Linked DNA regions of Neodiprion lecontei. The protein of the gene in region 1 interacts with the protein of each later gene in a pairwise test. Links are inferred from orthologs where the notes say so. Each region holds a gene or a part of one and is shown on either strand. Other genes may lie near its edges. The genes, in order: phosphoinositide 3-kinase adapter protein 1 and nuclear hormone receptor FTZ-F1 beta.

Region 1 (16,951 bases):
AGGATAATTGAAAATGATCACAATTTAAATGAGAAATGAAATGAAAATATTTCAGCAGTCACATAAAATTAACCGACACCAAAAACGATTAGTAACAAAGTATATCGTGTCGTTGATTAATGTGAGATAGTCAATATTAACATATTTGTGAATGGTGACTGTGGAGGAGTTGCTCCAACCGCAAACCTTACAGATCATCATTAAAGCGGTGTGTTTTCAACGGTACCGAATAGTCGAGTTGAAGATCTATAAATAGACAACATTTAGCTTATTTGTAAAATTCTTTGCACAATCATTACTGTACCCTTGACCGCTGCATGTTGATTAACAGAGTTTGGTTAAATTAACGTTGATTTATAATTCACCAACCAAAAATTACAACGAAGTTCGTCATGCAATTGGTTGACTGAACAATAAATTTCGAACCCTACGAATTTTCAACTATTCGCAAAAATATTTCTCTTAAAATTAGTAAACCAACACGGGCATGTGCGATGGTAAAAGTTTCTATCAAGAGAAAAGGAAATTCGACGCTGTATCGAGTTGCGCAGTGAAACAAGATGGAACAACATTGTATCCCCAATGCAGACACGTGTTGGACACGGCTCCGAAAGGTGCCTAATAATAAGACAAAAATTGTACATGTCTTGCTTAATAATAAGTGGTATATTATTGCCGATCGAGCCGCACGTACAGGCGTTGTATACGAATAAACACGTAGCCACGATGAAGTCTACACGTACTATATATCTTCGCGATGTATGTGCACCATGCATAAGTGCCAGCGGATGGCGATCAGCGACAACTCGGAAGTCCTGATATGGCCTTCTTCCGCAGTGCGTCTCGCATTCGTGATTCTAACTTATTTTTACGTCTTGTCGTTTGTTGTGTATAGCCGTGACTACAGGGTGTCCATTTTTATGTGTGCTTGACACAGAAAGGACAAATTTTTTAAGTACGTGCAGGAATATCTAAAAATTTAAGGCTCGGGGAGCAAATCGGAAGGGTACACGTGGAGGAAAAATTCTACCACAGGTGTTATTGAGAAAATTAACGTTGATTATCTAATACCTAGTAGTTTATATCCGCGTGAATCGTACATTTTTTTAACGCATTTTCAATAGCTTCTCGTTGATCATCATCGGCCAAGATTTCCAGTAAAATAAGCCTTAGAATTTCTGAGGAGTTGGATGAACGACGAGTGAAAAACGGCTACATAATTTCATTGTACAATCTCTAAATTATAAGGTGAAACGTGAAGCGCGATCGATTGACAATTCATAATTAATTTCTACGGCCAAGGTTTCGAATTTGAGCAGAAACTTGTAAGGCGAAATTTAATGCGGTCCAATTCTGGTGTACTGGAAATTATAGAAACATGAAAACCGATCGAATGGCGCATACAATTCAGTTATAACGGGGGTTGTATGAAAATAATTATTCGATAATGAGTTGTTGAGAGTTTGAGAAATTCCTCCTTCAAAGTTAATCAGGTGTGTTTCTCGATTGACATTTCGGTACGTACTGTAACAAATGAAATTTTTCTCAGTATGTAACAAAGTATATCCTAAAACCTGTTCAGACGTTGTTGCTATCCACAGAAGAAAAAAAAAGGAATCTAAATTGGTTCGGTAGTTTTGGAGTTACAAGCGAGGATACGGACAGGCAGAAAGAAAGACGTTGAGTTTTATTTATGCAGAGAAGAGATGTGGCACCGTAGGTATGTTAATGTATCTGCACACAGAATTATCGCTTCGGTCAAGCAAGGTTCTCACGTTTTCCAATGCCGCGAAGAGAGTTATTCGCGACGCGTGTTCAACCGTGTATAACCATGTCCTTCTCTTGCCCGTGATAAAAACCTACATCAAAGTGCATTGACGTTGATAATCTCGAATCGCAATTGAACTTTTCGTTCGTCTTCTGCGGGGTTCTGCGATCTCGAATCTTATCGTGGCACGCTTAGCTCTCCTGCTGGGCGGGGACACAATTTATAGATCATTGCTGAGCTAAACATTTCATTCACCACTAGAAATAGTTCCACGACTTTGAATCGGACTCGCACCGAACAGAACGTCGTCCTCTGGTCACTGAAAGTCGCTCTGCCAATCCCAGTATCCAACTTTACGTATGGTATACGTGTAGACAAGTCGTGCTTCCATAAGTGTGGGAAAAAATCATGCACCGTTGATATGTACGTTGGGGTAGTCGATGAAAGGGTTGTTTTTGAATTTTCATTTTCCCAGAGGATTAAACACTTTCAAGTTAGTTTTAAAATAAATCCTTGAAATTTTTGGCTTTCTTTCAACTCTAACAATAAGATAGCAGGCTTTCTGATCGAAGTATCTTATGGAAATAAAATGGGACAAGCTTCTGTTGCTTTTTGAAATTTTATAAGTCGTTAACGAATATACCCACAATAATGGAAAATACAAATTGTTGCAGAGAATTGTGACTGAGTCACAGTACCAATCAAGACTTTGTAAATTTTTTTAGCATTGCATCGATCAATACTAGTAAAAAGTAATTTTTCGATTTTCATTTATTATATAATGAGGTTTTACAATAATGTAATTACATGAATTTATCTTAAATTTTATAGCCTACAAGTAATGTGGGATATATTTTATTACACGATTGTTCATTTTGTAGCTATACTTGACGGAATGATAATTTTTTATAAAAATAAACTTTAAATGTTAATTAATACATGAACGCTTTCATTTACGAATTTTATGCATCAGAGCTTTCAATTCTCTACAAAAATATGTATTTTTCATTATTTTCGGTATATTCGTTAACGACTTATAAAATTTCAAAGAGAACAAAAGTTTTTCTCACGTTGTTCTCATAAAATACTTCGATCAAAAAGTGGATTATCTAAGAGTTGATATAGAGAGCTCGAATCTTCAGGGAATTCTTTTTTATCAATTTGAAAACGTTTAAAAAATTCAAAAACAACCCTATTAAGGACCACCCTAATGTATACATAATACATCACTTTCGAAAGTTTTATTGCCTTTTGATTGATTTTGAAATTTGCAATCCCCTTCAAGAATAATGAACATGTATACAGAAACAGATTCAACATAAAAAAACGAAAAAAATGTACCCACTAAAAGCAAGAGTTTTGAACAGCTTCAGAATTTTAAATCAGAACTGCACAAGGACTCAACTGCTTAAAAAATTCTAATGTTTTATTGTAACTTTTTCTGTGAACAAATTCTAAAATTGATTCACAGACTGATACGAGTTGTTCATTCGGTAGTTCATACTTATTTCCTGACTCGATGATTCAGTCATTCCGTCAATATCTCTTAATATCATTAATTTCCGAAACACACTAAGAAAACGTTAACGCGAATATAAAGGTTCAGATTTTTCGAGACCGATTTTATTTCATAGAACAACAAGAACGGACAAAATTCACATGGAAAAGAAAAAATGCCTATTTTCTATTGCAAAATGACCAAATTTTCATAGGAATTTCAATTGATCGTTTATTCGGGTATTTGTCCCTTTAGAAGTAGATTAAACTTTTGTCAAAAATGCAACGAACAACGCATAATAGATTTCATTTTTTCCGAGTACGTGATATTTACAGTGAAAATAACCGCTTGTGTCAGACCATGTAAAAATAGCGGCTCTTCGTTGTTCCATAAAATTTATGCTAGGAACAAGACGGGCTGACTAACAGATGTGAAGAATTGTACCGTATTCAAAAACAGCCGCAAAATACAGCTATAAGTAACGTTTAATAGATATTTTGTTTAATTCATGTTTGTACAGCTGCAGCAAGTCCAGAATGCCTCAGGGTCGGATTATTACCGTGCTCCGCGTGTTTATACCTGTACACCAGGCTAATAGCATTTTATAATTGCAGCACGAGTTTGCGAAAGGGTATTGAAAAGACTTTTCCCGAAGGTATCGGCACGTGCCTCAGAATACGTTAGGACGGTTATTTAGCTCTTGGGGCAGAACACTCGACTTCGAATAAAAATTGTTGTTCAAAGTTACTTTCGACTTGTTTAGAACTTTCCATCCCTCATATTTTATTGTATTCCTAATTGCTCTAAAAGAACTCGGTATCGTAAAATCGTCATGAAGGTGTCCTGTTCGAATCCGTTGTATTAAATTTTATTTTACTTTATGCTATTCCATTTGCACTTTTTAATCATTTCGGATTTGTCGACCGAGGTGAGCATTGTTGTGGATTTTTCATTTCACTGAAAAATATTGTTAGCGTGAATTATCGGTGCAAGTTTTTTGGATAGATGAAATATTATTGAAAGTTCTCGAGTATATGCCACGATAATTGAATGCAAGAATACGTGACATTATTTATTGTAATATAGGGATGATAACAGATGACTCTAATAACGTTTCGATGGTATACTGTAATATTCTCGAACAATGTATACAAATCGAAATTCTCAAATCAAAAACCTTTCTACTTCTGAATGAATTTTAGCATACTGAACGTAGAATTTTGTAGAATACGATAAATTTTCGGTACAACTTGCAAGATTTCAAATCATCAAAATCCGTTGATCCACTCTCGAAATATCATCGTTTCTTGAAATTTCAAGATCTACCAAGTACTCAATTTTTAATTTTCAGGGTGATTATAATAATATCTTTTATTCTTTTTTTTTCGTCGAAAAAAAGGAGGGAAAATTAAAAAGAAGGCTTCGGTATTTAGAGATAAGAGAGAATTTATTTATCATGATTGAACAAAATTATCTGCTTTGATCTGATCCTGTAATGATGTTTGAATTTCTCATAAAGCTTATTCGAATGTTGTATTTAATCGAAATATGAGGCTAGTCGTCTTTAAAAAACTTTAGTCAATGGCTGTGTATGGCATTTGAAAGATTCAAAAAGAAACGGAAACGATTGAAAGCTGGTCAGATATTATTAAATCATGTTGCAAAAACTATGTACCTAAGTATGTTACGATTTGGTTTTAAAAACCAAATTTTCTACAATTCAACGTTCACCCATATAAATGAGTATCGCTAGTTTAATAATTTGAAAACAATGGTTTCAGTATAAAATATCAATGAAAAGTAACTTTTCGTCGTTTACGATTGATGATAACGTTTATTGCGGTTGAGATAGATAGCTGAAATATCAGAAGAACTGTGTGAATATCAATTCACCTTGATTTCGGTACGACAAATAAAGACCGTCCCGCTACACATATTGGGACGGATTGTTTATAATTTTTACACTTTCCTCGCACCTGCCTCATATTTCCGGTCAAATACGTGCCCTTACAAACGCGTGCCAAGGAACACGTGTAAATCTTCTCGTTAATATTTATAGTTCATACTTGTTCCGCAGTTGGTTGCCCCTACGATTCCACGTACCTAATTCGTCTTACTCCGAAATCTCGAATTTGAAAAGTTCGGAAAGTGCCGAATTCAAATGACCGAGCTTCTGACCTGATTACTTTTAACCCTAATAGGTCACTAGGGGTGAATTGCATTCGAAACATTTTTCAAGACGTTTTTTAGACATTTTTGGCACTCTCCTTAACTTTGCCGATGTTTTACAATATTTAAATAATCAAGTTTGGTCAGAAAAACTGAGAGAGCTTTTTCTGCGATCCTTGAACAATACCTAGATATTTTTTTCGGATATTTAGAAACTCATTTTTAAAGCAAAACATCACGTTTGAGATAAATTTCACGCAGTGTAACCGTTATGCGATTCTTCTAAGGTGTGACCTACTAATGTCAATGTGGCCGTTTTATTTTGTCAACAAGTATCCGTGTGAAGAAAAAATTCTAATTTTTTTTCAAATTTTAAATCTCACTCTTTCGAAAGATAAGAATTTTTGAAAAATTTTACCCGTTGAACCCTTGAGTGCATTCAACTCATGAAAAACATAGCATTCAATTTTTTAAATGGATATTCTACGATCGAGTAGAATTGATCAAATTGAAAATGATCGGGCAAAACGTTCGATGATTTTGCATGGAATGCCCCATGTATGAGATGTCGATCAAGATCAGAAATTAAAATTTCAGATTACTCTGGAATTTTTTTTACTACAATACTGACTACAAAATACAACCCGATTTATGTTTTTATTTAACCAATCGTCCCAATCTGAGACATGATTCAATTTACTGTTTCCGGGGCACCCATTTTTTGTAACACAATTTTTTGGCACTTGTCGAAAATAGAATTTTCATTACGGAAAAAAATGCGTTGTTTCGGAAGGTAATGGAAATAAAAAAAAAAACAAATTATGATTGCGACAAATTTGTCATACGAAAAAGAGGAAAAGATTTTTAGTAATATGGGTAAAAAGAAACCACATTTACCTAGGGATTTACAAAATAACGAATACATTGCGAAATCAAAATTTTATCCCTTATAAATATTTATAATCATTATTTGAAATTAAATTCGACCGTCCACAAGAATTCCAAAATTTGGTTGTATTTTTATTTTTTTTAATGTGCTCTGGACGTTTGCAGATTTCAGAAAAGTAGTTTTTCGGAACAAATTAATTAAATCATATCTGAAGACTAGATGAGATTTGTTATATAAAAAAAAAAAAAACAGAAATTAACGGGGCTGTGTTTTACGAATAGTATTTTCAAACGAAAGATTCCGGGGCAAATCTAAGATCTCAACTTCCGAACTTGATCGAAAACTCGTGGAATGCCCCATATATGATTTGCAGATAAGTTAGATGCAGTGTGTACCTCACGAGCAGTTGAAGCGGTTACAATCCAATTCAGCTAATAATAGTAGATTTTTATTGAAATAGAACGCGTCTGCTGATTTCAGGCCAGCATCTGTTTTTGTTTGATATTTGAGTTCACGAAAAAACATTTTCACGCAGATGTCGATTCTCGGCAGAAAATGTCGTTCACTTGAGCATCTACTCGCCATATTAAAAAAATCTTTTTTTATCACGAATAAAATACCTAAAGAAAAATACATCGAATTTATTCACATTCACAAATGGCGGCCGGTAATTATTATGACGCAAATCATTGGCGCTATTATACATCGCAGAAATCATTAATATTTCCGTGTGCAGGCATTTCAGAGATCTTACATCCTTGGTGTAATTTTTAACAATACTAAATGAATAATAAAATTCTTTGATAGGGTCAAGGAAATTCTTGGTAGTCCGGTTCCATGGATTTATATATCAATTTTGCATTTTTATGCCGTAAATACCCGCAATGTGTCGATTAAGACTTCACATGAAATTTGGGGGGATCAGAAAATTATCACTTCTTCGTAGTTTCGCTGAAAATTAATAAATTAGAATTATCTAGAGGGCGAGTTGTTGATTATCGATGAGTCGTGAAAACAACCAATCTAACGATATTGGTTCAAAATCTATTTCTTAATTTCGTTTGGCCCTGACTTGACATAAGAAAGATTTATGTCAATTAAATAAAAGTGACATACGTGAATTTTGTAGAAAAAACGAGATAAAGGGACACGTACAACAAAAGAGGTAGATATTCTTGAACAAGAAATTGAACGGTTTCGTATAGAATCACGGCCTAATACTAACAAAAAATGTTTGTATTAATGCGTTATAAAAATAGGTCAATTTTGAGAAAATAAAATGTGTATCGGACACTATAAATACGTATGTGAAAAATTCTTATAATAAAAATTTAACAAAAGCGCGAAAAGAAATGTTCACCAAAATTATCATACAGACGTTTCATTCGTACAAAATATATAAATGAATACTGTGATGAATATACATGAAAATTTTATCATCCAGGGGCTATTTTAAATTTCAGCATACCTGACTTAATGTGCATCGAACTTAAAGTTACAGGAAAAAGGAGTACATATTATAAGAAAAAATGAAACTTTCGTATCTAGGTTTGCAACAACGGAAATTTTCAGCTGCAGCCGACAAATCTATGCACCGACTTAATTACGATTTATTTAACCACCCGCAACGCTAGTTTCGTCGTTCCTTTCGAAATCCTGGAAAGTCTGGGTAAATCACACGTGCATAAATGGGGTGAAGGGGAAGGGGCAGGGGAGGGGAAAAACGGGAGGGGTAATAGAGAGCAGCGCACGTCTGGTTTGGTTCGCCTGTCAGTTTTAGTCTATTAATATACTTGGTGGGCTGGAACACCTAATGGAACGAATATTCGTTGTACCCACCCACAGGTTCTTCAAAGCGGTCGGAAAAATGTATTATTTCACTTGTTACAAGCTTTAAAGCACACTGTATTCCACAAGCTGTACGAAAGAATACTTCGTCCAATATTGAACGTACTATCGGGGTTGGGATATATTCGAATGTTAATGAATTTAGAGCAACTTTCAGCGCCAATCGAATTCTTCTTAAAATACACGGTCGTCCAAACTGCTTCTAGTACCGAATCGGAAATATAATTTGACACATCGTTTGACAGAATATCAAGCTTTTCTCGTACGCGAGAATATAGAGGTTTTTCCAACGAGGGACAACACCTTTTGCAAATCTTGTCTATAATCGTAAACACCAGAAGCAGTGTCGACGACTGACGAATTGAAATGGTGGTAAATTGAGTAGCACCAATTTTTCCTCCATCGTTTATCATCGGTTATACAATTTGAGCAGCAGGTAATTACCCTGCCGTCATAACAGAAGTTAACAGTACAATGAAGCTCACCAAACAATCTCCGTTCAGGCATGTGTTCCAGATTTTCAAACCCTGAAGTTGTCAAGATGAGAAGAACATCGCTAGAGAACACCGAGCACCAGTCAATGGGAACGATCGGACACAGTTTCTCTCTCACTCTCTCTTATTTTCAACCTCGTGATATTCTTCCGAAGTACGAAGGGAATTGTTACCGCAAACGGAGACGAAATCGTGTTGAGAAAAAAGGTTCGATACCCAGAGTTCAATTTGCAGAGTAAAGGAGACGAAAAAAAAATCAAAAAAAACAAAAAAAACAAACAAACAAACAAACAAACAAATAAATAAATAAATAAGCAAACACGCACGCGCACTGGCGGTTGTCGCGAATCGACGATCCTTTGGTTAACGCTGGTCTTCGTACACGCGAATGATACCCAGAATGTGAGGAGTCCTCGCGTTCGGTTCGCGACCGCGCAACGCGACGTACTGACAGAGCTTTTGCTTCGCCATGCGACGCGGCCACGTGACCGCGTTCAAGTCTGGTTAGGGCGCTCCTCGGAACACCCGCGCATCTGGCATCTAAAAGAAACCGTTCCCTTCTTCGGTTTGCCTTGCCTTGCCTGCGTTTCTTTGCCGCGCGCCTCTCCGGCTGCGATTTAACATACGTGCAGCTGTAAACGCACGGATTTTGCTCCAGCTGCGGATGGATATACGCGGTGACGAGGCCACTTCGTAATTCCCTCTCGAAAACTTCTTCGTTATCGTTAGACTTGTCTGACTAAGGTTTTGTGGTCTTGACTTCTCGAAACGCGAATTCTTGGGATGTCTGGACTCGCTCGAGAGGAAAAAAAGTTACGAGGAATCGAGAAATTGTAGTCTTGATTGTGTGCGACTTTGATCTAAGGATTGTTTTTATGACGATACTTCAAGTATCTAGTATTTATTTAATCAAAAGATGGTTCGATTAGTATTTTTACTTAACTCAGGAAGGAAGCTAAGATATGTAGTCGGATGATCTACTTTTTAATAAAAAGACGAATTTAAAGTTTAATAAGAAGGTACACACAGTATAACTTGGATAATTTTGATAGGAAAATGTCTAAGTAATTAAAATTTTAATTTAAAAAAGGTTGAATAAATAATAAACGTTCATGGTTATTAATAAGCGTAATTTTACTTTGCATTTAACTAACAATTTTATGATTTTTTAAAGGCTTTAGACATTTCTCGAAAATTCGAGATTTCTCGAGTGCCGAGAGAGAAATAAGTCAAGGAATCAGAAGCCCTGCGTCTGACAAGCGTTAATTAATGCAACCAGATTGACAGCTAATCATTGACCTTGTTATCTCGCGTGTGGATGGTATGACAGGTATGTTATCGATTACGTTTCATTAATTTGCATGATATGAGTAATTTGAAACCCCAAAAACTATAATTTGCATCCATTAAAACTAAAAACTTTGATTATGTGCTATTTTGTAATGGCGCCGACAATCAGACTCCGACGTCATGGGGTCATTTTCTAATAAAGAACGTGCTTTTTGCAATCCATGAAATCTTGAGTGTGTTTCCTGCTCAAATTTCCCCAAGTTTCAGACTCCAGCATCAAGTAGACAGTATTTCGGGATCGATCATGAAAGAACTTAAAAAGAATGATTTCGAAATATGAATCCCTCAGATGTGTCATTGGAACTACCAATTTCGTTCTGTAATACATGCGTACGCGCAAAAGTAATTTTTGAATATTCGAATCAAGAGGTAAAACTGCGCGTCAAAAATAATTCTTTTAGTACTAATATTGGAAGTGCAAATGACGCTAGATAATTTTTGGTTTAATGATGAAGATGAATGATTGTTCTTTACTATAATTTTGATAAGGGTGTTGAAAATTTAGCGCAGTATGCACATGGCTGCTATTAAAAAAACTTATGCATTCTTTGCGTGGAACGAACATGTAATAATAAATATGAGATCCCGTTAAGAAATCTACAAAATTTTACCTGCGCGGTAGAACATACATATTGTATACACTTCTGAAAGTGCTTAATTATTTCATCAGATAGAAATACGAATATACTCACGGAAAAATTATTTTCGATTAGCTTGAATCGCAATAGATATGTTTTCAAACACGTGCTTAAAAAGTTCAATTTTCAAATCCCGTGGAACGTGTGTAAGGTGTCTCATTTCCGATCAATCTGGTTGAGCAACGTTTGCGCATGCGCGCAGCTGAAGTACTCAATTTTACACACGAGGGCTTTCTTTAGCGCGCGTTCGAATAAATCAATTTCACGCACTGTCATCAATTGTAAGCTTAAGTTACGTAAACCCAATTTTATGCGGTATCAATGGCTCGTTTGTTGCTTCTCAAATCAAATTTCCTTTTACAGGTATCGCAAGAAATAAAGTATGTCGCACATGCAGATGGGCGATAACTGCTTCATGCTGCAAGCTTCACACTCGTCGGAAGCCCGCCACTTTGCGCCCTTGTAACACAATATACTGCCATTCGAATATAAACCTATGAAATAATCTACTTGGCGTAAGCGAGGAAATCTTATTTATTTCCATGGAAATTTTTGCGGACACCACGAATTTTTGTTTCGAACAAGCGGATTCTCTGATAGGTTTGAATCCGACAGAACTTGACAGAAATTGTCAGCGGAAGCTGAAGCTTTAAGAGTCTGTAGTTAGCGGCGGAACGCGCTAAATCTCTTTCAAATAGAATAATGTTACAGTTACAGTTCATTGCTCATGATTGTAATAGGGTCTTGAATACTGATGAGATTTTACAAAGTTTTCAATTTTCGTACTTCATCAGTCTTTTCTAATGAACAATAATACATGTATCCACTAACTTCCACGTCATGATTGTGAGCATGAATCTCGTACTCGAGTGTTTTGCGAGAAATCAGTTATACGATCAGATACCATTACTTCCGTAAGAAAGTAACTAAGAACTAACAGAATGGTGCAGAAAATTGAGCCAGCAGCGAGTCGATTCCACTGCAACGAGAGATTTCAAACCATTTTATGTACGTTCATAAGTTAAACCACGTCTTAGAATCAACAGTCATCACGAAGTCGTTTGGCCCTTGTTTTTATCCGAAATCAGTTGTGCCCCCCTGTTCTTGCCGGTTAATTAAAAAGATTGACATTTTTTTTATTGATTCCTTGAATTTGGCATTAATCAGTACTATGACGTGAATATATTTTTTTTCAATTTCTAAACAATTTAATCATGATAAGCTTATTATTATCGGGATGAAAACATAAGGTATTTCTGGAAAAAATAAAATTTCAAAAAGATAGATCCATGCGCACAATCAACAGCTCAAAAAGCCTAATCGAATAAATTAAGCTATAACTTATAATCAAATAATATCAACGGATGAAACAATTCGTCGGAAGAATGCTTATCGTATTGGATACGTAAATCGCAGTGAACCTGGCGGATTTGTTTTTCCTGGTTAAGCTAACAATAAACGAGACTCCCTCTACCATCAAATATAACACTGTAATTCGAATTATAGCAAACGAAAACATACAATCATCAGGAGGAATAAAAATACAGCAAGCCAAAAGATAGAACGGTCATGAATTCCGAGCACGCGATATGAAGTGCCGCATTCTCTAATGACATTGATATTTTTTCTCCGTGCTTACTTTCCTTTTATCGCATCGAAACAACATACTTTAGTCACTTCTGAATGTCGAAAATATTCACTGGAACAAGTAGTTTGAAAATCGGCTCGACAGTTTTTCAGTTGCTTTTGCGCATGCGCACAATCAAACCATTTCATATGATATGGTTAATACGATCCCGGTATTCATATGATGCAAGTGGTCCCGTGTTACGTCGATGAAACTTAAGTTGCATACTTTCAGGCGTAATCTTATTGTTAATTGTTTCTGTTATTAGTCAGCTCCAACTCGATACATCGAGATAAAATAAAGGCCCCGTTGGAGTCTTTCTACTACAAAATAATTCTTTGTGAAGAGAAATATTGGGTAGGTAAGTCATAAGAACACAGTAATTTATTACCGACATTTCGGCCCTCGGTATGGACACTTTTCAGGGACTTTTATTCTATTGGAACAGAAGGCAAGAAATATTTTTCTGTCAAGTTCAAGTGCACGAGCTTGTGTCAGAAATCGGTATCACGTATGATGTAACTAACCACGTATGTACAAGTCAGGTCACGTAGATCAAGGTATCTTAGCGTTGATTAAAAATTATGTCAGTTATTGCAGATTACACGCGGACCTTCCTCAAAGCGCATTTAATTACTGTGACAAAGAAAGAAATCATTGAAATTATTTCAAGTTATTACACGTGTTAGATAGCCGTGTCATAAATAATTAACCTATATTTACAACCAGGTCGCACGTAGACCGGGAACAGCCAGCGTCGAAGTCAGTCATCAAGTTACAAACAAGCACGTAGCTACCGTGCAAAGAAATGAAAAACGTAGCTTATTACATACTCCCGAACAATACCGCTCAGGCGAAACTAAGATTGGGTGAACAATTATAACTAATCGTAATTCAAAATACACGAGAGCTCAATCGAGGGACACTCACCTTAAATTTATTAAAACGAATTTATGTTAAAAACTCATTAAAGCAAGAGGCCATCGTGGTTGTCGGAGAGCCCGGCATATTATGCGCCTTTTGGTCATCGCCTCTCCCACTTCTCCATGCGAAGGAATATCTAACTTTTTTTTAAAAACAATCAAGAATTAACGTGGATATTTCTAAAGGTTGCAAGGTAAAGGAGGCGAAAGAGGTAAAAAGAAGACCCCAAAATATGTAGTTGACGAAGGTTAACCACTTACTAGTTTCAACTATCCGTTAACTTAGACCGCCTCCACTTTGCGACTGTTAAAAGTACCCGCGTTAACTCTTGATTGTTTTTAAAAAGAAGTTAGATAGATATTCCTACGCATGGAGAAGTGGGAGAGGCGATGATCAAAAGGCGATACCGATTTCTGACATAAGCTCGTACACTTGAACTTGATAGAAAAATATTTCTTACCTTTTGTTCCAATGGAATAAAAGTCCCCGAGGAGGGTCCATACCAAGGGCCGAAATGTCGGTAATAAATTACTGTGTTTTTATGACCTATTTATCCAAGATCTGTCTTTACAATCACTTCATCATTAAAACAATTGGTTGATTACGACGAACATAAAAATAACAAGCGAAATTCCACAGTATCTAAATTGTTAATTGGTAAGCGAAAATTTGATTCGTTATTCCGTTCGTAAGTAGAATGAAAACCTGCGATTATAGTAATTTACTCATGTATAACATCGCCTTATGCAATAATAAAGTTTTACATGCATCGATGGAATAGTTGTTTTCAATTGCTGAATATTGTGTTCCGTAAAAATAGCCATTGCATTCATGAAAGAAACAGAAAAATACCGAACATTTTGTCAGACTCATTTCATAGAATATACTAAATGATTATTCCTACTAAAAAGTAAGCTAATTTCTACTAGATACATACATTGTCTCGAGGCAATTTGTTGTCAGCGACGCAGACTCTTTCATCAAATACTCACCCAAATGCAAATACTAATTATTAACATTTTTAACTTAGTCAGAATTTACGATCGTCATTTAAGTTTTTACTACTCACCAAATTTCAGAGAACTGAGATCAATACGAAATACAAAGCAGCTGTTTCGACAAACGGGCATCTGTCAGGCAGCCGCAATAGGCAACGTGTTTTCCTCGTATAAGGTTTGACATTTGGGAAACACGTGTTTTCTCCTCTCACTCCTCTTGCTCTTTCCATTCCATTCGCCCCTTTCTTGCTCCTTTGCGTTGCCGTTGTCCCTCATCGAGTTGGATTAAAAGCTGCGACGAAAGCAAGAAATGGTAATAAAAAACGCAGCGAAATATGTATGAATACCTCCTGCTATTCCCCGAATAGCAAAGGTCATCAAAGCCACGCTGTAAAGGACAATACGAAGTTGCCTGTCGACAGAAACCATGAAAATTCTTTTCCTTATATTTTCAATCAATGGTATTCCATTCGGCAAAGGGCTGACGGTTGATTTAATGCACTAAAAAAAAATGAGGGGAATAAAAAATTCTACATACTCAGTATGTATCGTTTTAATTAAGATATAAAAATATTTCTGGAAAATGGATTCGTACACAAAAATGTTACCTACAAAAGTTACCTAAAAAGTTACAAATTGAACAAACTAATATATGGGGCTCTCCACGCCAACTTTGCAAACGGTTGACCGTGACATTTTTTCATTTCATCAACGACTTTTCCTATATTGGTACGACCCTTGAAATCCTTCCAGAAATTGGAAAAAAAATCAATCACTTGTCTTTACCCTTTGAATTTTTAAACGCATCTCAAAAGTACCCGAGTTGATTTTTTTGAAACAAGGTAAACATATTCCGTTTTCGAAATAACATATTTTCACGCAAGATTCAGAGTGGAAGGACATTTATTTCTATTTTTGAACCGTTTTTGAAAAAATTCGTCAGATGAAATTCATTGAAAGATCGAATTTTGTTTTGAAACAATTGTACTGTGCCGTAAAAAAATTCGTTCATTTAATGAACATTTCCCTTAAACTCAAAATACAATTCTCATGATCCCAAATATTTCCTTCTAAATTCGCTGCTATAATTGGAAATGTTCTGACTTTCATTTACAAGCACTAATACGACGATCAATCAATTTTTGCTATAATAACTTCTAATAATATTTGAATTTTAACAATGAGGCGAAATCTATATTAACAATCTTTTATCAAACTATGATTAGTGGAGTGACCATTTTAATTTATTTATAAATATGACTACACATGAGCTGTCATTAATTTTAAAATTCATTCATTCATTCATCATTCATTCATTCCCGGTGTATTTAGTTAAAACGGTGTATATTGTTAAAATCAGTGTATATGGTTAAAACAGTGTATTTTGTTAAAATGGGTGGATATCGTTGAAATTATGATGTATTGTCAATAACGGTTTTTCGTCGAGGCACTATATTTGTTTATTGCACTTTTAATGTTCTCGTTCTATCGTCTCTCTTTTTAAATTTGCTTGGCTTTTCGAGTGTTTTAATTGTTAATTTAACAGGTATGTCCCCGTAGTTTAAATTTCCGTTATTATTTTTAAATGGTCGATTTTCGATCAGTTACTATTTCAGTTCAGAGAGGAACACCTCCGCACCTCCTTCCTCCTGGAGAGACGTAGACCACCTTCTACTTTCAAATTTGTGACCAGGTTCCCCACTCCCTGGGTCTAACCTAATCCACTCGTGCCGTGTTCATCGCGCATTTATATTTGAATCATTACAAACTTTGTAAGAATATCGAGGCATGCATGGGTAGGAGAATATTTGCTGACCGTGGCTCATCGACTTAACACGATCATAGACAGTGGTCGGGTTCTGGTTATAGAAGGAGGCTGCATCGTGGTACGTAGTTTTTTGAGCCAATTTTTCAATTTCTTAAAGTTGATTTGTACTCCAACAATTTAATAAATTAGATTAAAAATTTCTACATGATTTTTCACAGTTCACGGAATTTTTCACCACCCGCATTTGCTCTTGCGTAATCCAGACAATCATATTTCAAGAATATTCAAACAGACGGGTAATTAGGGAAATGTATCGGGGTACGTGACGCAATTCGGGAAAACTCGCAGAGATTGCTGAAAACGCTTTGTTATCGGTTGAGTTTTGAATACAGAGAAGTAGAGGAAAAATATATTGTGAAAAATGTTCATAAGTTTACTACACGTTTACTGCACAAAAGTGTGGGTGAAAAAAAAAATTTGGTATTTCGAAGTGAAATACTAAGCATTCTCATTAAATTAGCAATTAAATTTTCTAATTTTACTCAACCTGGTTGGAGAAATGCAAAAGCGTGTTCTGAGTTGAATAAATTGTGTGGTAAATTTATTATGTTTATAAATTTCCTATAGCTACTACGGAATCTACGTGATAAAAGTACAAATAAATTCGATTACAGTCTGTTAAAATTAAAAATCTATTGTGACAAAATGAATTAACGTGCATCTCCGTTAATTTCACTCTGCGAGTTCGAATTTCCCAATCCCGAGTTCTAGAATCAAATTTTATACAAAAGCTCAGGAAATTACCATTCAGATTTTGGAATTAGCAATCAAAGTTTCAATATCGGACAATTACACCGTTAATTTACCGATTATTTAAGAAATAACTAAAATTGGATAGCGAAAAGCTCGTAAATTTATTCAAAATTGTATCACGACTTCGAATTCTGAAACTACAATCTTGTCGATAAATTTTCAGTTTC
Region 2 (17,050 bases), on another chromosome or scaffold:
CATTATCTTTTTTCTGAGTTAATCGTTGAATAAAATTTCATTTACTTGTCTTTAGTTCATATCTTATCGATTCCCTGTGTACTTTTCAATATTTCTAAAGTCACCCTGATAAACTATTGTTTCAGTAAGCTATACCACAGTGAACTCGATCATCCTTCCGTCAAATATCCCGTAGGCGTAATTGTACCTTAAACGAGAAGCAAAATTTGAGCTTCGAATTTCCTCACGAATATTACGTGATATGGAATGAAATGCGATTAATGAAAAACGAGTGATCTCACTCTTGTATATGCCGCCAGGTGACATGACGGGCAAGGAAAGTGTGTACACTGTCTATGCGGGACATGAAGTCATGTTTCACGTAAGCACCATGCTCCCGCACTCCAAGGACAATCCTCAACAACTCGAACGTAAACGGCACATCGGAAATGACATAGTCAACGTTATTTTTACCGATGATCCAACCGCACTTGACTCGTTCAATCCAAACTGCATCAAAAGCCAGTTCACCCGTAAGTTTCGCGTAGAAATACAGATATACGTACGAATCGTTTGAGTGCAGTGTTGATATAAAAACCTTTTACACTGTATGAAAGCAGATCGGTAGCTACGGTGATAATTTTACCGTGAAAGAAACTCTTCAATTTTCAGACGTATTCGCAATAGTGAGCAGCGACAGCAGCGGATGGAGAGTCGCGGTTTACTGCGACGAATGTGTACCTCTTTTTGGACCTAGTTTACCCTGCCCTCCAGTCTTCAACGACCCGCACACCTTCAGGGAGTTCCTCTTGGTGAAGCTTATCAACGGGGAAAAGGCGACGTTCAACACTCCCACGTTCTCTCAAAAGAGAGAAAGGACTCTGGACATGTTAATCAGGGACCTCTACCAGGAACACGTGCAGGACACCAAGGGCAGCGTAAGTAGGCCACGCGGTGATTTTTGTTCTCATCGTTCGTCATCATTCGTCGAAAAAACGATGATCCGTCCCCTTCAATTTGTCTTTACCCATTCCCAATTGTTTCAGAATATGCTGAACCGACGCGCCCTTTCCGACGTCGTCGAGGCGCCGGGACGACGGCGTGAAGAGACACGTGCCGTCGAAATGGTTCGCGTAGGACAGGCTTACAAACTCGAAGCCATAGTCAGAGGCCTCGCACCAACGTCAATGGCCACGGCTGGTCCCTTCAAGCCGAGTCCTTGGGAGCCCCTTTGCGTGTACCCGGATTTTCCGCAGGATATCATCTGCGGAGATTCATGGTCGCAGAAGAACCGAATGGTTCTGTCAACCGAATTCGGGACGTTTCTCATGGAAGGTAAGCGAGTAAGCAGTTTACTTCCGACCGAGTAGTCACACGTGTTTCTGGAACTGGAACTAACTATGAGCTGTTCTCGCGCTGTACTCGACGGACCTCACCCACCACCATATGGCATGTTTAATAATAATTAATCAGGACAATTAACGACTTGCTACTAAGTTCTCGTTAAGAAAATACACGAGCGCTCACCACTAGCAGCTCCACTGACTTATAATCACGCGTGGTAGCTTACCTTGTTCTCATTGTAAATTGTAAATAGTATTAAACTTCGAAACCTAAGTTTGAATGTTCGGATGTTCGGATGTTCAGAAAGTGACGTCACCCAAATTTTTTTTTCTCTTGACGTCATCGATCTATAGTGATCGTCACGACGAAAGTCAGTTAGCCGAATTTCTCAGTCTGGAACGAACCGCGCAGTAGAGCGGACGGTTGAGAATCGCGCTCCGCAGATTTCGAATAACGGGTTCTCTACCTCCTGGATCCTGCGCTTCAAGCCGCTTCCTGGGGCAACTCGAGTTCCAGGACAAGCGCTCCGTAGTTTTTACGCTCCAGGTCCGCTACCTGGTGAAACTCGACTTCCAGGACAAGCGCTCCGTAATTCTGGCCTTCCAAATCCTTGAACTGGTGACTTTCGACCTTCAGGACTAATTTCCCGTAGATTTGGCTATCGAGGTCCTCCACCTGGTGGATCTCGACCCCCAGGACAAGCGCTCCGTGGTTTCGGCTGTCCAGATCCTTAACCTGGTGGATCTCGACCTCCAGGACAAGCGCTCCGTGGTTTTGGCTGTCCAGGTCCTTGACGTGGTGACTTTCAGGACTAATTTTCAAGTTTACAAGTTTGATTATTGAAAACGTCATGTTTTGTACTGTCAAACCAATACACATGCTTCAGATCACATTTTAAATCCGAAAAAAACCGAACGACCGAGATCAAGAAATTGCGATTGGTGAGTAGTTGGCATAGTATACATAGGAATACACGACAATAACGTCGTTCATTTAGAGCTAAAATTGCTGTGCGTAGTGTTTTAAATCTGTCAGCACTTAGCTGATTGTTCCGTGGTATTTTTTGACGAAATTTACTGTCATAAAATCACAATGCGTTATACTTACATCCATACGTAAACGTGATTTGTAGCATTATATAAAAAAAATCTTACGGGCAGATTCGGTTTGCGTCACATGCACAAAGACAGTGTTCATTCTGTATACTGTGAAGCAAATACCAGAATTTTTTGGGGAGTCATCGTGCCCCAGTCTCCCCTACAACTATGTCATCTGGTAAAACACTGACAACAAGTGAGCGAGTGCACGAGCACAAGAACCAGTTACGCTAGGCATCCGACCCCGAGCGAGCTTTAGCGAGCGAAGGTTTCAAAGCTAGTTGTAAATGAAGTTTCATAGTTCATAACCCCGTGTAACTGAATCGTTCATCGAAATGAACCATGTAATGAGCAAACCCTGGGAAACAGCCTACGGCATACGCACTTGGCGACAGCGCCTGCGTAATCGAAGTTCTAACCTTGACGATGATAGAGAAATTCTTTATTCTCATTATTTTTCAAGTTCACAGCGGTCTCGAGTTTTGCTGAAAAGTCATCCAGTCAATTATGTGATCCTCGGTTACCTACGGAAATTTGAATTTTATTCCTTACCCTGATCGTAATGAAGAAAATCCTGAATATCACAATCCGGTAAGAAGATCTTTGGGAATCTGATAAGCTCGGTCTGGAGCTTCGTAAAAAAGTTTTCGTAACTTGGACCAACAATTTTCTACTTGATCTGATTTCATTATGAAAGTGATCGTGTACGACTTCCATGGTTCACTGAAAAGTTTTCTTCATTAAAAATCTTGGGAAGCAGCGTTAGTCACGCGTTGTTACACTTCTCTGAAAACAAAACAACAGATTTCCGTCAATCAGTATCAGGCGAGATTGTGTCGCAATTACTTTATGCAGATCAGTCTTACACGGATCTTTCATTATTAATATTTATTTTATACGCGGAATTACTTCAGGGACTGAGTTAACTTCCAATCATGCATGTCTGTAGAGTAGTTTCGCAATCTATGTAACTTGGTACAAGTTTAGCGGAAGCTTCGGTCATGAGAACAAGAACAGAGCCTCAGATGGGGTGACGGTCAATACTTACTGTTCATAGCCCGCGGTGTCCTGATTTACTCGAATGAATGGCTTTGCCAAAGTCTTATGATCGATCCGAGTTATGAATCTATCGTCGAAGAAATTGACAACGAGGTGAAGCTCGGTTGTAATAACTTACGATGTTTTTATTATCATTCTGCATTTAAACTATTACTATTACGCGCATTGATATTTTTTGGAAATGCTATCCTTCGACGATTTTCGGAATTCGATTAAATTCCCGAAGGTCACGCTAATAAGGGTCATGGATTTATTCTTTTCGCTGATTCCGACGAAGCAATATCCGCTCGCTTTGCAAGACCCTAATCAATACCAAGTGGGCGCAGCAAAGTGTAATTCGCTATAATCATCATCAGTTTAAATCCATGCCCACCGAATGAAGGCTCAAATTTACTCAAGCGTAAATTTGCGTGTGAAGCGCCGAGGTCGGAATTGAAGCAGTGCTATAATCTGCTTTCAGACGGTCTTTCGCACAGACTTATATTCGACAAGTCCGTCCAGATAAAACAATTAGACGTGGTGGAACAACACGGGATCCTGCTAATCAGAGCCGGCGACCGCGGGAGAGACAGCAAAATCCACGTGTTTCGTCTGAGCGAGTTCGATGCGGAGGCTGGAGGAGACACATTGCCCAAGACGAGATCACACTCCAAGGAGAGAAAACTGGAGCGCACCAGAGGCTGCCACATATACTCCCTTACTCGACCGGGTGGCTCGCATCTGCGAATGGTGAGTCCGTAGCAACTCGAGACCCTGTTCAGCCCCCGTGTAATCTTACTCTCAATTTCCTCTACCTTGAGATAAGCAACTCATCTCGCGAAAGCTTGAGTTCGGTGCTTAAAACGGATGCGCGGGAGATCCGCTCTATCACCTTTATCAAGCTTTGAAAAATGTCGTAAATCAGTCCCTCGGCTGAGCAGAAGCAGTTTGAGAATAATTTTCGAGGCTCAAGCTGATCGAAACCGCTCGATCCTGTCGACGACCTTAATTTTCATCTACTTCCGATTTTCCGCAGTGCGCTGCCATAGGGCGTCGACTGGTCGTTATGCAGTGGAAACACAGCGCTGCTTGGACCGCTTGGTGCCCAGCATCCGACACCGACACCGTCGACGGTTTCGTCTTCGTCAAGGAATTGACGGCTAGCGAAGTGCCGAGCTTCGTGACCATCGTTGAGGGGGCGACGGGATGCGGTGATTGGGCACTCTGCTGCGCTCTGCGACATAATTTCGAGCTCATCTCGGCGGAGGGTGCATCGAGAATACTATCCGTGGAAACGAGCAACAAGCCCCATCTCGTCGCTGCTCTGGACCTTCGAGAAGACGAGGAGCCGGAACTGCTTCTGTGCTACAATAGTCAGTATTATCGCAAATCGAAGCGAGTTGGTTCGCGAGACACGTTACTGCAGGTATTTCTCGGTATAATTGTTCAATTTTCAGATACGTGCCATTTCCAAAAGCTCATGGACGAAAGCATGGCTTCGACGGCGTTCGATTTTCATTGGAATTCCGTACCGACGGCGGTTGGTACGTGTGGAAATTTCAAACAATGTCATCGGTGAATTCCGTTAATACTGATTGTGATTTCATTATTATCCACAGTATGTGCATTTCCATACGTAATCGCTTTCACATCGGACACGATGGAGATCAGATTGATTATAAATGGAAATCTTGTACACACAATGGTGATGCCGAACTTGAATTTAATATCCTCGAAGAATGACATATTCTTCGCGACCACGGCCCCGGAATTCTTCTCCACCCGCACCGAGAGGATCCACTTTGATGGAAAGACGGATAAAGACGACAAGAACAACAGCCCCCCAGCATCACCCCATTCCGGTAGGTTACGGGAACAATGAGAGGGCGGGAGCAGGTGTTCGCAATTATTTTAATTACCGCGGGGTCGCTTCGCGGGCTTGAAACCGCGCTGAGGACCTTTCGCATCCTATTTTTTGCTTCGGTTCTTCTTTTATAAGTAACGAGATGCATGCCTCTGAAACGTTATCGATTTGCCGACCGATAAATTGAGCTCATTTCTTTTACCGGCGTATTAACTAAAATGTCAATTCGTCGTTGCTCATCCGACGGTTTAATTCTACAGCTATTCGTTTTTGACTCCGCAGCCAACCCGATCTTTTTACAGCCCCTCTTTCAGCCTCACCCGAAGCCAAGCCGATGAGGATCTACAAGATTCCTCTGAGCACCCTCTCGGGAACAACGGTTGCCACCTGCGAGAGGCGATGCCCGAGTCCTGCGGAGCCGGATTTAGTACCCGCACCACCCTCTGGGGATGCCAACTTTCTTACGGTCGACTCTAGCAGAGCTTTGAGCAGATCGTGCAGCAGCAGTCCGACGCCCGGTCACGTGCCCTGCTTACCGGGCATGGGAATAAACAAGTAACATTGTTATACAAAACGTTGAAGAATTGGATTGAAATTAATTTTTCTTTAATTGACAGAAAACCAAGAAAAAAAAAGAAACAAACAAAAAACACAACAGAAATTAGGATTTTTACGAACGATTGAATCGCCAATGCCTCAATTCCACTGAGCCCACATTGGGGCATTAGCTTCAAGCATGATGATATATAAATATATAATATATAAAAATATACGGTATAAATAAAACATAATATATAAATTTATACATAGTGCTGAAAAATAATTATATGACAGAATTTCATTTGTGTGTTGAATATCTGCATGCAAATTTCGTACGTACCTTTAATCTTTATAGTATTATTATTATATTATGAGACACGTGATTGTACACGTCTTTATTAAACGTCTTCTCTTCTGTGATACGGCGATACAGCTATTTTAAAACTTGAAAAACGTATGTTAACAATAAGAATATATAATAACCAATTACAGTTACACAGATAATAATACAAATAATAATAATTATTATTAAAACGATAATAATAATATTAACAACAATATTTATCTCGATAATGGCAAAAACTGTATATTATTTTAACCTGTGCAAACTCCACGCACATCCATTAGTCTCGATTAATATTCATGTGATACGCGAACGCCATTCCCTAAATAATATGTAGAATACAAGGAATGAGGCGGATCATTCATTGTGTTGCCCATACGCGTACGGACGTAGATTCGATCGAAAAAATTATATTATTCACAAATATTTGAAAATGTACCATATTTTATTTCAGAATGCGCGTACGTCTTAAGTAACCTCATATAATGTTATAGATGTATAAATATAGTTTAGCGTACTACTGTTATCTAGTCCGTGACGTTACCTGCATCTACTGTCTCTACTATGATTTTTACTATAAAAAATGCATAAAGCACACACATGATATAAGCACAAATATTTGTACACGTACATTTCAGGCGCGTTAGAGTAGTGGTGAATTTTTTATTTACCGGCCCGGTATTTAATTTTTAACTAGCATGACTGAGTGATAGGGTAGTTGATTGATAGTGATAAATAAAACTAAAAATGAATGTTCGTCGTAAATTGTAATTGTCACATTGAAATGCAGCATTACCTGTAAGTTTCACATTGGAAGAAAAATGTTTGCTGCGAGATCCGTTATGTTGTTACAGCAATAAAATGAGTTTCTTTAATAATTATGTATACTAGTGACTTGTGTTGGCCGTGTGCTGATTCCTGTGATCACATCGGATTCGAGATAAAATATCAAATGTCACACTACTCTGTGCGTATTATTATGTACGTGTAGGTGGCATATATTATTTATGATTGATTTTCAGAATTGAAAAAATGAAACGCATGTACAAATTTCTGTTATGTTTATTTCACTATACATAGATTAAGACATACAGGATGAACAATTCCCTGACGACAATCTATGATATGGTGTGAAGCAGATTGAATCAAATTGTTATAATCTATCAGGATTGGTAAAAAATATCCAAGGAAGCCAAAGACTAAGGAACCTCTTAGGAAATATGTACTTCCCGTGTTACACTGTACGCACTAATCTTCTCAGGCTATACTTTCGCAGCCTTTGAAAATGTACAATATGAGGTAAAATTAAGCAGAAAGCAAAAATAAAACAATGTAATGGAGTTATATGAAGAAAAAAATATATATGTATATATATGTCAAGTTTAAGAAGTAATTTTAAAGGGTCAAGGGAAAGTGGTGTGAATTGAGTTTACGTCGGTAACGCTGTTTAGAAATTTTCTCCCTGTCAAAAATGTTTAATAAATATCGAAAGATTAATTTCTCAAAAGTATAAAGACGAACGCCTTATTCTACGTACGTGGTACACTACTTTCCCCTGCATATTATAATACATTACAGACACATTGTTACGGGAGTGAGTTGAATTTATTATAAGATAATATATGACAAAGGTATTTAAGCGTTGTAAGAAAATACAAAATTTCTCTAAAACCAGTATACAGTTTAAACGATAGTCTTCACCCTTCGGGATCCAAGTAGAAGAGAAGATTGTGAAAGCTGCGTATCGCTCTTGGTAAAACGAAGAAATTGAAAAATATCTACAGATATTGAGGATGAGAAAGACTGCTCGGAGCAGCATCTGCCAGATGGCTCTGGCATTTCTTTCCTCGGTAGTCGACGGTCGAACTTGAGAAGCGTGGCGTTTATTTGGATATCGGAGTGTAGTACACGCGACTATCGAACACCACCAGATGGTGTTAAATCTCGGGCTGAAATAATTGGTATTACCTAAACTCTTTTTTCTCATGAACCGTGAATCCCCCGTTGCAGCGTTGGATTTCCCCGAGCTGAGAAAAGCACGGTATAAGAATGGTGATACCACGAAGAGGGGACGCTTAAAATGATTTTCACGTCCGTCAATGATACAGTTGCAACAAAGAATATATCCTAATTAAAATTCAAGTCGTGTATTTGTTGTCTACGTTTTACTAGTATAGTCAACATCATCCGTCCACGCTGCTTCTCTCATAGAAGATCTAAACTTCTACAGCATACGGTATATTATATCTTTCAGCTTGACTCTGTCGTAATATTCTAATATCAATGGAACGGATCGAGATTATTTATATTAATTGAAGAGTAAAAATGTCGTAAATAAAATAAAATCGGTGTGGTTTATTCAAATATTCCAATAATACATCGATGAACAGCAGTAACGATACGTACAATTTTCTTCCGGAATGAATTACAATAAATCTTACATCGTTAGGTACGATAATGACGTAAGTATTCCCGTATCAAGCAATTTACTAAACCATTGAATTTATCTAATTTTCGAATCATCGTGGAACTTGCAGACTCAGAATTCAAATTGAATATTCGAAATAGTGCCACGTCGAACGAATGACGCGGATAATTTATCCGTCGAAAACTTAGCCGAGTCCAGAGAATAACCTCTGAAGACAAGTAAGCAACCCTTCGGCTCGTGGGGGTTGTCGAACTCATGAAAATCTATGTATACAAAACTACCTTGTACGAAATACGAAGTGTCCGAGATTTATAGTTCATTGTAAACCATCGCCGGCTGCAACTCCGAATCATTTACGCACAACGCGCGCTCGTTCTTTCGTACCGCAGTTTTGTTCATCGTCGGTTATTCATTTCGGCTCCCCGTTGTTTTTTATTTCCGTCTAATCGATAGGTCGCGCGTAGTTGGCGAAACGGAGCAGACGTTGTCTATGGTCAGTAAGCCCCGGTGGCTGCGTAAAGGCCGCGGGGTGAGAATGAAGGGGTGTTTGAAGTCGCGACGAGTACGATGTTTTCCGAATGAACGTACGAGGAGCGAAGGGAGCCGGCGTTAAGTGCCGGTCGGAGCTGCCCCCTGCCGGCAATGCACTGTACTATCTTTGCCCGTGGTACTATAGGTTCCCCTGTGCGCGAGGCTTGTAACTTGTAACGTGAAGGTGTGCCTAGCCTGGATGGCCTGTTACCTGCTGTAGTACAGGGACAGCGTATTGTGAAAGTGCTGTGTGCGTTCTCCGAAAGAGAGTCGTCGGAACCGATCGCGGACTAGGATATTCCTGTGGTTTTCGCGAGACATCATCCGGAGCATGAGGTGAGTTTAACGATATCAAAGGTTCCTTCTCGCGACGCGTTTTCGAACAACGACGAGACATCAAATGTCCAGAGAGAGCGGTATTAATAGGGTTAGCGAGTGGACAGAGGTTATGTTTCGCATCTCATCTCCCCACTCCGGGTTGCCCTCTGGAACCAGAATCACGGCACTTTGTCTCTCGGGTATATTCTTCCGATCGACCAGGTTGTCAACGATCTACGTATGTACCTATTTTAAACGTTTCGAACGGAGAAACGTAGCGAGTCCTCGGAGTATCATGAGTGGATCATTCGACAGCCGCGCACGACGAGGGGAATCGAGTCGTCGTCGTCTGGCGAGGTATCGCGAGCGCACCTGACCGATTCTTTTTTGTTTTTGCTCGAGCCGCCGCGCTGCGGTCCGTTTCATAACTGCCCGGGCTGCTGCTGGCACTTTCATACATGTTTCGCAAACAATCCGTTTGCTTTGTAGCTCGCTGTTGCCGCCGCCGCCGCTGCTGCTGTTGCTGCTGCTGCTTCTGCTTCTGGCTATACCGCAATTTCATATTTGTTATATACGCGAACCGCGCCGACGGATTCGACGACTATCGAAGAGTTGATACCACCTCGTTTATAAAATTATACTACTAATACCACCGCGTACATTTCTCCTTACTCCCAAGCTATGCATACGTGTGATATCGTGTACGTTACTTCTCTCTCTTTCTCTCTCTCTCTCTCTCTCTCTCTCTCTCTCTCTCTCTCTCTCTCTCTCTCTCTCTCTCTCTCTCTCTATCTATATATCTGTCTATCTGTCTCTCCCTCTCGCTCTCTTTTACCTCGCACACGTTGGCCTCCTTCAATTTAACGTTTGTATAAACAGAATGCGAATACGACGAATAGGAGCAACTCGGCAAAGTTAGACGGAGACAGGTTTCGCTCGAAAGTCGAGTATTAACATGCGAGGAAATGAGACGGCTTGTTGATATTTCGGCGCGCAGGCTTCTGGCTTGACACTTGACAGCGCGGCCGGCCTTGAGCCTCCCCTTTCCTCTCCGCCGTCCCCGTCCCCTTCGCCTATCTCTATCTCTCTCCGTTCCCCGGCCTCTTTATGCCCTCCTCTTCCCCCGCCGCCTCGTCCTCGCGACCCCCAAATCACCTTACGCCTTTTATCTTATCCTCAGCGGTAAAACTACTGACCGCAGCGAGCGAGGCTTCGTCACAGCGGCTATACCAGGAAAGAATAATGTCGCATACCTCAACCGAACCCCCCCGACCACCTTTCAAAAAATCAGTAATCTTTTTCCACACCCGATTCAGCGTTTTATACGCACGTCGGCGTACGATAGTCATAGATCTGTATTTCACCGGCGAAATGATTCATTTTCTCTCCTCAAGGGTTTCGAGAACGCTCATAATTCAAGCCAATACACTCGGAATACTATTTACACGACATAGTTCGATTTGGCCGATATTATACTTATAGTCACGGCGCGCTGGATGGCAAACATTTCGATTAGAAACAGCTTATCTGAAACACGCTGATTCACGAGTTAATACCCGATCGGCTAAATCTCTGGTATACCTAGACGATAAAGCGAGCAACGTGTTCGCGGTGGCTCGCACCTCCTTCTCCTCTGCATCAAACCCAACCCAACAGAACCCAACCCGAGCCAAGAATTGCGTCAACGATTTTTCCGACGATTTAAAAAATTCCTACACGGTATGCGATAAATTTTATATTACACACTCGGGAGTTGAGGAATGGGCAAACGCATATATCGACTCCGAGGAGGAAGGGACCCGCGATGCAGGAGTGCCTCTTTCGGTCTCTCTTCTCTCGATCCTTGAGATGCGGATAAACCTCCGTAGGCTTATGAATATGGATGAAAAACCTTTCTCGACGCAGTGCAGCCCGGACCGCACCTCGCTGCTCATTCACTCGCTCGCTCGCTCGCTCTCCAACGCGTTCTTATAACACGCGGAGCTCAAGTTTTACCTGCGCTATGCCGCGCGATGGTATGCAGCAGTTATGTGTTGTAAGCATATTACGGGATGGAGTTGATCGTAACCCCGCTGGCCGCACGCGCGACGGGCTTTCTTTTTAGAAGACCAAAACCGATACTAGATTCACCTTCCGCATCGGAGTTCGCTGCTGCACCTCGTCGACTCGAAGCGAAAACTTTTTGGAATAAAAGATGTACACCTACCCGCCAAGTTGGACGTCACGACGTCGATTCCGCACCGCGTTAATAGTTTTCCACGCTTTCCTGAGAATATTCGAGTGCCCTTTAACGCGTTCGTGAATCTTTTTTCTCTACCCTCGTTCGCTCGGCTAGTACTCGTTAGTTGGCTCGGTATTTACCGTGCGGTATATCCTAACCCGACGTAATGTAGCGGATCGAGCACGGCGGTCGGCGCCCGTTTCTTGGCGAGCATGTAACTGTATTTTCTCCATGGTACCCGCTGCCAACGACGACGACGATGACGACGATGACGGCGACTCCGACGACGACCTTCTCTGCAGCGGTTACCAACAGTTTACGCTTAACGCTGATGCATAGTCAGTCGGCGTGGCGGCGCGTGGTCAGTCACCAACTTGTAGGTACACACCTATTCATCATCTAGCCGAGCTTTACGCGTCTGCGGCGAGCTGCGAGATCGTTTCGTTCTGCGCGATATTTTAATTTTTAATAATGCAAATAAAACAAACGTTCCGTCGCGCCCGGCATCGGGCGTTGAAAATAATGAATCCCCGCACTGATCAAATCGTACATCTGTCCACTTTTTATTTTTCGTAAATGATAAAAAGTCTGCCCAATGCCAGAACAGTGTCTCAATCTTTTTATCTACGAGACTATGGGCAACGCACTACAAAGTCCAGACCTAAACAAGTTTTGCCAATTTTTTGTTTGCATACCTTCGTAGACAAAATCGAAATTAATCATATTTTAGTGTAATGTTTTTTCTTCTTTACTTTTCTTACGCATGTGTTTTATAACATTTTATCAGCATTCAAATCGACCGTTTATAAATTATACATACCTGATTTCCATATTGAGAAACAATCTACCTTACTTAGCTATTAAGAAGTTGCGTTTTACAACATCGCGCTGTAGTATAAAAATTTTGAACATTTCACAAGATGAGGCATCTATATGTTAATGGATAGCTCATACGCATCGGAATCGTAATTTCGGAATATTTTCTGTGACGTTATTATATTCAGGATTAAATGCCCAAAAAATCCAAACAACCGGACGAAAGTACTCGGCCGGACGCTGAATTGGTACGCTCCCCAACAGGTTGCTTCACCGTCGTCTTCTTCCATACTTGGCCACAGATTAAATATTATCGATACAACATGTGGCCCATATGCAAGTATACAGATGCGATTAACTATCAAAATTGAATAAGTCTAAATCCGTGATTTAATCCCCAAACTGCATATCTATAAAAATCTCACACTGTGCAATCGTCGTACGTAACGATGATTTTTCCTATATTTACGTGCGCACGTATGAATCTAATATATACCAATCTAATGCGTGTATCGTTAAAATTGAAAGGCCAACGTACAATACATTATCGTTAAATTGGCGAATTGCTGCGTGCGAAGCACCGTAGCAGCGCCCAAGTTGCTTTTTTGCCGCTTTTTAATTCTTGGTTCTCTCATTTCTTACCCTGCCTCGCCGCGCCGCGGAGGCTGTGAGCGTAAGACTGAATGATCTCGATAAATCTGTCACTAACTGTATCCGTGAAACACCGCACACATGCAACGTAAGTCTACGCGTCTACCCCAGGAGTTCAGAGCTCCGAGTTCTTATACCTACACTGCAGATCGCCGCGTGTGTATGTGTGTACCGTGATCATTTCCTTGGCACCCTTCCAACCTATACGAAATTTTTATTATACACACAAACCTGTCTACTACCTACCATCCCTCGAATCGGCGCCATTAATCACCTAATAAAATCTACTATCTATACATACATGTAGGTACGCACACGGATATAGGTACACAAGTAAAAACAAGACGACGACACGAGGCTTGTGCGAAACAAAAATTTAATGTTGCACGCTACATTCGTCCTCGCAACGTATATATATATATATGTATACATACATACATACACTTATAAGCATTTGCACCTTTGTTATCTTCGCTAAGAGTTTACTTACTCACGAGAAAGCATTTTGCTTTACTCCGCGAGAAAACGACGACAGAGGAAATCATGAGAAATTCGGCGCTTCCCTGCTGCAGCGGCTCGCCGTACCAAAGAAATTAATCGCGGTCATTCCCGGGCAGGAAGGGGAGAGAGTAGAGGATGAGTCTCATGCACGGAGTGACCGGGGCAACCGTTCGGTTTGCAGACTCTGCTGTGCAACGCTGCAACGTGCGGTTTGAGGTGGTGCCGCGTTATGGGACGCCCTTCTTTCCTCCTCCCTTCTCCTCCTCCTCCTCTTCTTTTTACAGGTTGTGGTACCTCGCGACGACTCCCTCAGGTAGCCTCTCCGTGGTGCAAGAGGACGGAACTTTAGGGCCATGCAGCAGCCGCAAGTGGATTCTCCGTGACGAACTTACGGCCGCGGAGCAGACGAATGCTCGACACCCCGGCGCGTAGTTGACTCGACCAAGTCAGTCGGCTACCTCCTCGCCTTGTGGTGGCTATCGTCCGACATCGTCGCGCTTCTGACTCTCGTCGATATTACAAGTCGCCTATGCCCCGCGTTTCTTTTTTTTTCCTTTTCCTCAACCTCTTACACCTCTATTTATCGGCATACAGGTGACCGGTTTGATAATTATTTTTCCCGGGGCGGGGAGGAACCCGAGGCTGTGGTGCAAAAGTTTTTTCGCTCTTTCGCGAATCCGTAATCGTGCTCTTGAAACGGAATGTACCGAGTACGGAATCCGATGAATACCAACTGTAGATAACAAGGTTTCAATTGAATTGTGTTATAGCTACAAGTGTTTCTCAGTTATGAAACTTGAAAATTGTATCGTTGCTATTGGACAACGTCAATTGTTGAAAAGTTCGGACAATATTATTCAGTTATAAAAGTGCTACGGTATTATACGATAGTTGACCATTAAAGCTTTCAAATCACAGTAGTGCAATTAACAGCAGGAAACAAAGGAAAAGATAACAGACAATTCGCGTTTTTTTTTTGTTTGTTTTTTTCTTTACCGTCGTCATTATAATTATCGTTTTGGGAGATACCATTATACGTATACGTGCACGTTTTTAAAAAGTGTACCTGTGTCTAAAGTGTACGGCCTAAAAATGCAAATAATTAACGTGCAATTATAGTGTATCAAGATATACGGAATACAGTCATTCTAACGGCAAGGATTACAAAGGACAACGTCGTACATCGCGAAGCAAGTGGACAGTGTGGCACAAGTAGGAACTCGAGTTTGTCGACGTTCGAAAAGTATTTTTAAAAAAGTAATAATGGACATTGCATGATGTATGTTCATATACTGGAGATATAACGAGTGATAATTCCTACGTGATCTGGATCATGTAACATATATATTATACACTTATCGGGACATATCTTACGTATTTCTACAGATTACGTACACAGGTAATAAAAATTATTCCTGTTTACTGCAGCCATTGAGAATTTATGTACTCGTACGTACACACAAATAAAAAATAGGCATACCCTAATTTTATCAATATTTGAAATCCGAGATTAAGGCAATTTCGAACGAACGATCTTTATCGAGATATCGGTGTGCAGGGCTTCACATGTATTTGAACGGAACGGAAATCTCGAATCCAATCAGGAACCGGTTCCTTTCCAGATGTGTTCGAACGGATCCGCGTTACGAGAATAATAATTTCAATTGGTATCGCCGGTTAGTTGTAATATGTATATGCCTACCTATCTCTCGCTTGAATATACATGTACATGTGTATTGTATGGTGGAATAAAGATATGCAGTAGTTGCGGCAAGCAAGGCCCGGCACCACTCGGTGAAAGGAAAACAGACATATCTCGTATAACAAGTATGCGCAAGACGTGAGGAGGGACGTTAGTATTTTACACCTATAATGCTAGGTATTTAGCATACATACATACTACATTCGAAGGAGTCCACTCCAAAATTAGAAACGACCTTACAGGCTTCGTTTGACGTAAGAATTACCAACATTCGACGAGGATTACGTTCCCCGCGCGTTCACGTGAAAACTACCGGCGCAAGTTCCATGAATTCATTGAATATTTCTTCTCTCGCCTCTCCTTCCCCCTCTTCCTCTCATTTCCTTTTTTTTCTTTTCTTTTTTCTTCCTCTTTACACAAAGATTTCGCATATCTGCCGACAGGGAATTCGAATATACCGACGCAGGTTCGACGCGTGCATACAAGTGGGAAGCCTGTCGTCGGAAACTAATAAAGGTATCAGACAGTTTCCACTCTATAGAAATTTCACGGAACCGTGGTGGTTCGCCGCGACGCGACCTGAGAGCACGTGTTGGCTGGTGGCGCATGCGCGTGACAACCGCCCTTAAAATAGAGCAAGTTCGCTCGCGAACGTTTCCGGTCATTGACCTTTCGTTCGTCTATACTCTCTCCGTGTACATGCGGACGCACGGGCACATCCAGCCAACCGTACACGCGTATGACTGCGGTGCATCGTTGTTTTGCCTAGGACGTGTGTACATACGCTGATGCACGTGCTGCAGAGGTGTACAAATGCACATGCGCGTCGTGTACAATACTCAATGCCTGTTCGGGATGAAGTGCACAGTCTTCGTCGGTAAACGTTCCGCCGGCTTTATTCCCTTTCACCGCCATACAAGCTTCGATTTGTCAATCTATAAAGATTATACTCCTACAAAATTTCAACAATCAATAATCTTTCACCGCCAATATCTATCTATATCAGACATATTTCAGCCTCTACATTGAGCGTAACGATAGCACGATATCCCCGTGTGCATGTACATACATACTCTGCTTCATCGTAGGCAGACAGACACCCACACGTACGGGTACGCTGCAAGTAATTAACGGGCATCCGAGCATCGTTGACAACAGTTTTCCGTCCCGCGTTACGGGGGGGGGGATAAATAGTCTTGAAAGCTCGACGGCGATTGGTCACCGTGGTTCCGTCGGGGGTTCGAGGGGGTGTTCAAGAGGGTAGGGCGACCGGTCTAGTCTCCGGACTCCGGAGTCTGACTCAAGTGGCGGCTCGTCGAGGTGGGGATAGGAGACCTTGAGCGGCGTCACGTGACCCTAAGGTGCATGGGGTAGGGCGACGAGGGCCTTGACCTTACCGGCTTGGGAAGAGACTGACTTACTACTGCCGCGTCGAAAAACGTCGGTCTTTGCAACGGAACCCCTCTTAGAGGCGCGGGTTGTGCTCGACGTCGGTCGGGATGGATTGATAACGAGCGAAGGGAAGGGCACGGAGGGATACCTCGATGGGGGGGGGGGGGGGGGGGGTCGACGCGTAGGATAACGTGACTGACTGACTCCGACTCTACCCACCGTCATGGATATATTATATGTCCTTTGTTTGTTGTGTGCCGTCAATTCGCGCGAATGACTGCCCCG

What was found.
Region 2: the proteins of phosphoinositide 3-kinase adapter protein 1 (region 1) and nuclear hormone receptor FTZ-F1 beta interact in a two-hybrid assay, tested with the Drosophila melanogaster proteins (2 studies listed by BioGRID). The link is inferred for Neodiprion lecontei from reciprocal best matches to the Drosophila melanogaster genes stumps and Hr39.

Annotation. Positions count from the first base shown.
Region 1 is NC_060260.1:11,735,553-11,752,503, reverse strand, and holds the start of phosphoinositide 3-kinase adapter protein 1, read right to left. Parts: upstream 8,889-16,951; 5' UTR 8,658-8,888; intron 1-8,657.
Region 2 is NC_060262.1:31,237,614-31,254,663, forward strand, and holds the start of nuclear hormone receptor FTZ-F1 beta, read left to right. Parts: upstream 1-9,313; 5' UTR 9,314-9,500; intron 9,501-14,397; exon of another isoform or gene 14,398-15,070; intron 15,071-17,050. Other genes in the region: GTPase-activating Rap/Ran-GAP domain-like protein 3, read left to right, coding at 300-512, 652-917, 1,026-1,314, 3,940-4,208, 4,495-4,831, 4,916-5,002, 5,078-5,320, 5,625-5,881.